Saccharomyces cerevisiae S288C: one gene and its partner. The protein of the gene in region 1 interacts with the protein of each later gene in a pairwise test. Each region holds a gene or a part of one and is shown on either strand. Other genes may lie near its edges.

Region 1 (2,848 bases):
AGCTCTTAAAAAAGTCAATTGCGATTGAAAGCCTCCCTTTAGCAACTGCAAAGCATCTAAGACCACCGTGTCGATCTTTCCTGATAATTCTACCAGCGGATCAATATTCTCACCGATGTAAGATTGGAACGCAGTTATGCATTTCGGATCTTGTTCTACTTCAGGAGCATTTTCTGCAGAAGGTTCATTCGTAGTATTCGCATCGGCCCCGGAGTCGGAAGGCTTGTTATTTTTAGATGCCTCCAATTTATTCTGAATATAACCTTCTTGATAGATGGTGACATCCTCTAATCTTGCAGTGGCTTCTTCTAGCCTTTTTAATAGCTTAACAAGGTTATAACCTTGCATTGTGTACTTAGAGTCAGGCATGATTCGATTTCACACGGTTGCAACTTGGCCTACTCAATTACGAAAAGTTTCAAGCTGAGTTTTCCCCTATACTACCAAAAGATTTCACTTCTAAATCCCTGTTTATGACTTCACGCGACATGTATAGATCATTTTAAACGATATGAATTGTATACTGTCCCAACATTTTATATCTTTATATAAACATCAAGGTTAATAATGTTCGACAGTTACTAGAATCAATGCCTAAAAGGTTACTGACTGAGTGTGATCTCTACCATAAATCTTGAGAACGACATACGAGGCGTAATTTTATGTAAAAATTATTTATGGATGTGGCTTCAACGTCCTACCTCTCTTCTCGTAAGTAGGCTTTATAGCCAGGGGACATGGATTTCAGGAGGTGAATACGAGTGTCACGTATACTAAGGTCTCCTCGGCTCAATGAAACGTACTCCAAAGATGCGGAGTGGCCTTGTAATGTATTTAGTGTATCGTTTCTCACATTTCTCTGCCACTGTTCTCGTGTAGTGCTCTCATCTCCCAGTCCGATGTACTTTTGTTTGTATATCTTCTGCAACTTCAACTGCCTCTGCTTTTCCGCCTGTTTTGAGTATTAGCATTACGTATAAGCCGCACGGACTTGCACGATTCATCGCAAGCGTAGTTAGTACCATGGTAAAGATGATTTCAATTCAAACTAAAGCGCAATAGAACGTAACATACCATTTCTTTTCTTAATTTCACTGTTTCGAATTGTGTAATATAACCATTTTAGCCACTATTTACATGTTCTGAATGAGAAGGCTTATGTTCTTCTCTTCTTCCCGGGTGACAACGCTAACTTCGGCGTAAGATTTTCCGCTATTTCTTCAATAGCGACATAACGTATGAGAGTTTATGCCCAGGGAACACGTTGATTTAGAAGCAAACACTGTTGCATAAATTATAGGGCTGTGATTTTATCGTCTTTATCTAAAGCATAATAGGGTGAAACGGTTTCAGTTGATACATATTCGCACCAGTATACATTTTCAGGACTTTATGGCAGAACAGACGCTACTTTCCAAATTGAACGCTCTTTCTCAAAAAGTGATACCACCAGCTTCCCCTAGTCAGGCAAGCATTTTAACGGAAGAGGTGATACGAAACTGGCCTGAACGATCAAAAACTCTCTGCTCCGATTTCACTGCACTGGAGTCAAATGATGAAAAGGAAGACTGGTTGAGGACTTTGTTTATTGAACTGTTTGATTTCATAAATAAAAACGATGAAAATTCTCCCCTCAAGCTTTCTGATGTTGCATCATTTACTAATGAATTAGTGAATCATGAAAGGCAAGTGTCCCAGGCTTCCATAGTTGGTAAAATGTTTATCGCCGTCTCAAGCACTGTTCCAAATATAAATGATCTAACAACCATATCATTATGTAAACTAATACCGTCGTTGCATGAAGAATTGTTCAAATTTAGTTGGATATCCTCTAAGCTGCTCAACAAGGAACAAACCACCTTATTAAGGCATTTGTTAAAAAAGTCAAAATACGAACTGAAGAAATATAACCTTTTGGTAGAAAATTCAGTGGGTTATGGTCAATTGGTAGCCTTATTAATATTGGCGTATTATGATCCCGACAATTTTTCCAAAGTGTCCGCATATTTGAAAGAAATCTATCATATTATGGGGAAATATTCCTTGGATTCTATTCGTACTTTAGATGTTATTTTGAACGTTTCTAGTCAGTTTATCACTGAAGGGTACAAGTTCTTTATTGCTCTTTTACGAAAGTCGGATTCTTGGCCATCTAGCCATGTAGCTAACAATTCCAATTATTCTTCTCTTAATGAAGGCGGTAATATGATTGCAGCAAACATTATTTCATTCAATTTATCGCAATATAACGAAGAAGTCGATAAGGAAAACTATGAACGGTATATGGATATGTGTTGCATTTTACTGAAAAATGGGTTTGTCAATTTTTATTCTATTTGGGATAACGTTAAACCAGAGATGGAATTTCTACAAGAATATATTCAAAACTTAGAAACTGAACTGGAAGAGGAGTCCACTAAAGGCGTAGAAAATCCCTTGGCTATGGCAGCTGCTTTGTCCACTGAAAATGAAACTGACGAAGACAACGCCCTTGTTGTAAATGATGATGTTAATATGAAGGATAAAATCTCTGAGGAAACAAACGCTGATATAGAATCAAAAGGCAAGCAGAAAACTCAGCAAGATATTTTATTATTTGGTAAAATAAAACTCTTGGAACGCTTACTCATACATGGTTGCGTTATTCCCGTGATACATGTGTTAAAGCAATATCCGAAAGTGTTATATGTTAGTGAATCCTTATCTAGATATTTGGGAAGAGTATTTGAATATCTTTTAAATCCATTGTACACATCAATGACCTCATCTGGTGAATCAAAAGATATGGCAACTGCTTTGATGATAACCCGTATAGATAATGGTATTCTAGCCCATAAGCCAAGGTTGA
Region 2 (5,402 bases), on another chromosome or scaffold:
TTAGGATAGGCTCCATAGGCATTGGAATTGCCTCAATTCGTATATCTCCTGTCTTAGAGACAAGTACCCGCATTTTATAGCATTGCCTTTCGTTGATCATTTTTTGAATTTTTTCGTGATACTCTGAATTTCCTTCTTTACAATTAATCAAGTTTTCAACCAATAACTTCAATAAATCATTCAGAGACGTGCTGAAGTCAATTTTAAAGTATGATAATGCTATTCTTATTCTTTGGTATTGTTCATCTAATAAAAAAAATCGTTCATAAATGACTTGTAGCATATCTTCTACACGCTGGCACACAATGGTCTTGCAATCATGCTTCCAAGCATCAGGATGCTGAATATTTTCGAGAAGGTCACCGCCGGAATTAACCTCCCTTACTCGTAAATAACTTGAGTAATCCTCATTAATTATCTGCTGCCTAATATCTTCGTCTCTCAAACCTAATCGAGGGTCTGGAGTTTCAAAGATCTCTTTCTTTGACGCTGACTGGCGTGCAAAACCAGGGTCGTACCTGAAAGTGGCCAGAACCTCGAAGTTCGGATTAGCAACTAGGCCTCCTTCATCGTAACTTTCCATATCAGTCTTCCAATTGTCCATTAGTGACATCTATTTCTTATTATCCATGTCTCGCTCTTCATCTTTCTTTTACTCACTTTCACAAAATTTTTTCCTGCCCTTTTTTTTCCAATAGCAGGTTCTGTTTATATTTCATCATAATCTATGAAGGCATCGTGACGTGATGATATAGGTGTGTCAAGTAAAATATTCTTACAAGTTGTGGTTATTTATATGCTCTATATATATTCACAGAACTAAATCCAGTTCTTCTATATATTCTTCATTGTTGTCTGGTGTAACGGGGTAAAAAGGTACCATGGCGTCCTGGTACATTACGTACATGTTATTATACACCCTCCAAAATGCTTTCCTTACATTCTTCGCTGGATGGAACAATCCTGCCCATATGTAGTTCATGAATAGTCCAGGGCCAAGAGCTTGACTCAGTGCCTCCAAACCTTCTAAAATACGCATAATAGCATGTGGTGAAGTTTCAAAAATATTGGGTATTAGAAGATTCATTAAATGAATGAAGGCATCTTCGTGACCTGTACCTGAACAGTTTAAAGCTAAGTGGGTTATTACGTTCGACGCTGTCTGACGATGAACTAAATCCCTATCGGTGAGTGCATCTTCTAATAATGGTGTTATGAAGTATATGTAATCCTTAGACATGTTACCAATGTACTCAAACATGAATGACATGGCCTTGAGAACACCGTTTTGAACATTAGTCTCTGGTGTTGTGTATTCATTCATGATTACTGGCAGCACGTTGTAAGGACCACACACTTTAGCAACGATACCGATAGCAACAGCCGTGCATACACGTAACTGACGTTCTTGAACCTTTAAATTGTTCAATAACGCAACAAGAACATCGTGAGGTCCAATTGCTTCAGCAATGAATCCAAACGTGGCATTTGCTGATCTTCTTATTTCTTTATTTGTACTTTTCAAAAGTTCTAATAGTTCAAAACATATTCTCATCCATTCTTTAGGAGGTGCATAGGTAGGTGCTAATTTACCAATAAGTCCAACAAATTTGATAGTGTTTACTTCGACTTTTCTATGCTTGTTTCTTAAAATTGGAGTTAAGGTTGGTAAAATTTGATTAATAGGAGGTTGTAGTTTATCCAAATCCATTACGCTAGTAATACAGTACATAGCGTTGATTATAGAACCTAATACCTCTGGATATACTTCGCCTAAGGATTCATACAATATAATGTTCAATTTATTCAACATTTCGAATTCGTGACAGTTCTTGATGACTGGTATTAGTATGGCACATAGATCTGCTGCATGTTGACGAACCAAGGGAGTTTTATGCTTTAAATGATTTAAAATCGTACTCACAATGGGTGCTAAAAACGGTTTCATACGGATGTCAAGTGACACCGTCACTGCCCCAAACCCTTTAAAGATTATAGAATCACTATTTGTTTGTTCTTGAAATGCTATCAAGAGCGCATCAATAAGCCTCGTTTCTAATCTCTCATCTAAATCTGCTGTCCCTAATAAGTTTACTGTTCTAGTAACAGCATGGACAGCCATTGTTCTGAACGGCTCAGCTTCATCTCTCAATGGTGTTAATAATTTATCAATGGTATAAGAACAACCTAATTTCTTTGCTAATGTAACAGTAGTATATGTAACAACTTTGTTTAATGGTCTATCCAATGCCACTCGTCTGACCCAAAATTTTTGAAAGAATTCTGGCGCGATTTCTTCTCTCAGAAATTTTGGCGTTATGGATTCTACAGCGCTACATTTTTGTAATACTAAAAGAATGGTCTTTTTCATTTCATCATCGGGAGAGTCGAATTCACGTCTAATTATTCTCATTGCTTCTGTGGTATAATAACCGGCATACTCTGGGTCCATCAATGGGATCATAGATCCAACAGCTTTTAAAAAAGAAGATAGCACTTTACCACGATGACTTCTTATACCCTTCCATAATGGCTCCAGTACAACGTTGAAAACTTCGATACCATATGGATAAGAATTTTCTGCTAGTGTTGATAAAGTATGTGCTGTAACAATTCGCACCGGAACGTGATCATCCATTAGGCAGTCTTTGATACAACTCATCAGCCCAGTAAGATGATTCAAGACACCTATTCCCAAAAGTATACCTATTTGCTGCACAATTTTTATGCCAGTATGCCTTGCTTTCCAAGACTTCCGTGAGTGGCATGCTGCATTGATGAAAGGAAGCAATTGATTAACACCAAGGGCTTTTGCCACCACAGCCGCCGCTCTTGAAGTTACATTTCTAACATACTCATCCTCATTCTCAATATCAGGTCTCATTACTGTTAGAATGGTTTTTAGGCCAGCGACTGTAGACAGATTGGTGATTATCTCCTGGCCTGTTGAACGAACCATTGGATCTTCATCTATTAGCAATGGGGCAGCTACTACAAGTATTTTGTGAACGTAAGGTTTTGTTAAATCTCCTAGCTGGTAAAGGACGCGATCTATGGTCTTGATCATTAGATGTCTTTCCTGGTCTTCCAAACTTCTGTCTAGTAATATGGGCAATAAGCGGTTAAATATCATTTCTGGACCAAATGTAACAGCTTTATCGGTTAAAATCCGCATAGAAGTCCTCCTACTCGCTGTATTGCCATTTTTTATTTTCAGAAGTAACATCGACAGGGTTCTTTCTTTCTTTTCATCCTTATTTAACTCATCTATGGGTTTTTTGGATATAACGTCGGCGAAATATTTATGGTCAGAAGGTTTAAAAAACATCAAATCATGGATTCCTTCTACATTAACCAAAGCACTATCAGAGTTTTCTTTGACCGCTGTTGAAGATTCATCAGGTGGCTCGTACCCTTTTACATCCCAACGAGATTTTCTTTTCCTTGGCACGACAGCGTCTTGGGTATTTTCTGAAGACGTAACAGTTTGTGTATCGGAATCCGGCTCAAACTTCATATCAAACCTTCTTTTGTGGTATGAATCCTCTCGATTTTGCACTGTCCTAGTTTCCATTTTTTCCTGTAGCACATCTTTTTCGTTCTCACCAATACGTGCAGCTTCTTTCTGCAGGTTTTCCCTCAAATCCTGAGGAATAGAATATTGACCGCCTAATTGGTGGCTCTTATCGCTATTATTAGCGTTTACAAATTGAATCGGATGACTCATGATGACAGGTCCTGGCTTTCTATGTTTATTATGTATAAGTAATTGAAGAGATGTTTCAGTTCTAACTCATCGAGAAGGAGATTTCTGCTCGGGCAAATATCAATGCAAACCCGAATAAGCTTAAATACTAACAACGTGCCAAATAACAGCAATCACGTCTAAAAAGCTTTCAAGAGACGATAATTGGTTGTGCATATCTGTCAGCGGAATAAATAAAGACAGGTGATGGTAGTTAGGCGGAAAGTACATGTTCTTCTAATTGCAAGGAGCTTTCATTCCTACACACCTTGCTTCAGAGTAACTACCAGAGGCAAACGACAGCGAAGTAAGAGTAAGCAGCAAGCAAAAGTAGAACTAGATCACACACGAGAGCTAGATAATGATCAAGCTACAGAGACAGTTGTAGACCGTTCGGTTGGACCGGAGAAAGATATAGAATCAATAAACAAAGACTTTCTGCAACGAACAAAAGGATTAGAGCCTGATATTGAATTAAAACAACTGCCTCAAATTAAACAGGAATTTAACCAACGTTATAAAGATAGGTATGTTAAACCTTCCGAAGATTGGTACGTAAACTCCTGGAGGTCTTTAACAAAACCAAAAATTCCGCTTTACAAGTTAATAAATTCAGATTTTCAATTAATAACAAAACTGAAAGCTCCAAACCCAATGGAATTTCAACCTGTTCAGCTAATGGAAAGTCCCTTAAATGTTGGTGACTTTGTTCTTTTAAAAATGAGACCCAATGAATTGGCGATGTGTGTAAGTCTTCCAAGTAGCACTATGGATCCTCGATACACTTTTGTTACTATTGATGGAACTATGTGCTTTGCGACCAAAAACCGGGTGTTATTGAGGATTCCTCACAAATTACCTGCTGGAATCCATTCACTTATACAGCCTGAGAGCCATCACAAACATTTGCCAATTGGAACCGTTAAGAACTTTTCTAACCAAACGAATATTTTGCCTATTGTAGCAAGGCAGCTAATAACAAGTAGGTATCCAGCCCAAATTTCAAAGTTGGCCTGGAAAGATTTGCCCATTACTACCAAAAAATTACAGTTACTCCACAGATCATTACAAAATTATATGGGTCCATGGCAGATTCCTTTTTTTACCCTAGTCGGATTAGTTCAGAAATTGGATTTAAATAAAGCCTTGGACGATAAAAATGGAATAAATTACTTAACTAGTTTAGTTAATAACTATCACACTGTAAACGATATACCAATAAATTCACCTACCTTTGTTTCCACGTACTGGGCGATTATGCAACAACAGGAATCGAACCTTTGGGGGGAAATCCATCTGAATACAGCGTTGCTGTCGCCTATATCAGTAACGATTATTCCCTTAAAATCACAACATTTATATTATGCGCAGGTGATAGAGAAGCTAGAAGCCAACAGTTATAGAGAGGTCAATAAGTTTGTAAAATTGGTGAATGAAAGGAAATATCGCGATATATCAGCTTTATATCCTTCTGTGATCCAATTATTGAAAGATTTTGCTGCTGGGAATTTTCACAATAACGGAATTATAGTAGCTTTGATCTCAAAAATATTCAGAAAGATAGAACGCTATAAGGATTGTGACATCACAAGAGATATATGTCAAGATTTAATCAATGAGATAACACCCAACTCAATACCCAATCCATTGTTACTTA

What was found.
Region 2: the proteins of YSF3 (region 1) and HSH155 interact in binary tests that used the Saccharomyces cerevisiae proteins (3 or more experiments, as listed by UniProt).

Annotation. Positions count from the first base shown.
Region 1 is NC_001146.8:364,262-367,109, reverse strand, and holds YSF3 (U2 snRNP complex subunit YSF3), read right to left. Parts: upstream 1,078-2,848; coding exon 1,075-1,077; intron 953-1,074; coding exon 698-952; downstream 1-697. Other genes in the region: SRV2 (adenylate cyclase-binding protein), read right to left, coding at 1-369; THO2 (Tho2p), read left to right, coding at 1,393-2,848. UniProt on the Saccharomyces cerevisiae protein: Involved in pre-mRNA splicing. Required for the SF3b integrity and prespliceosome assembly.
Region 2 is NC_001145.3:843,896-849,297, reverse strand, and holds HSH155 (U2 snRNP complex subunit HSH155), read right to left. Parts: upstream 3,728-5,402; coding exon 812-3,727; downstream 1-811. Other genes in the region: aminodeoxychorismate lyase ABZ2, read right to left, coding at 1-613; DSS1 (exoribonuclease II), read left to right, coding at 3,953-5,402. UniProt on the Saccharomyces cerevisiae protein: Contacts pre-mRNA on both sides of the branch site early in spliceosome assembly.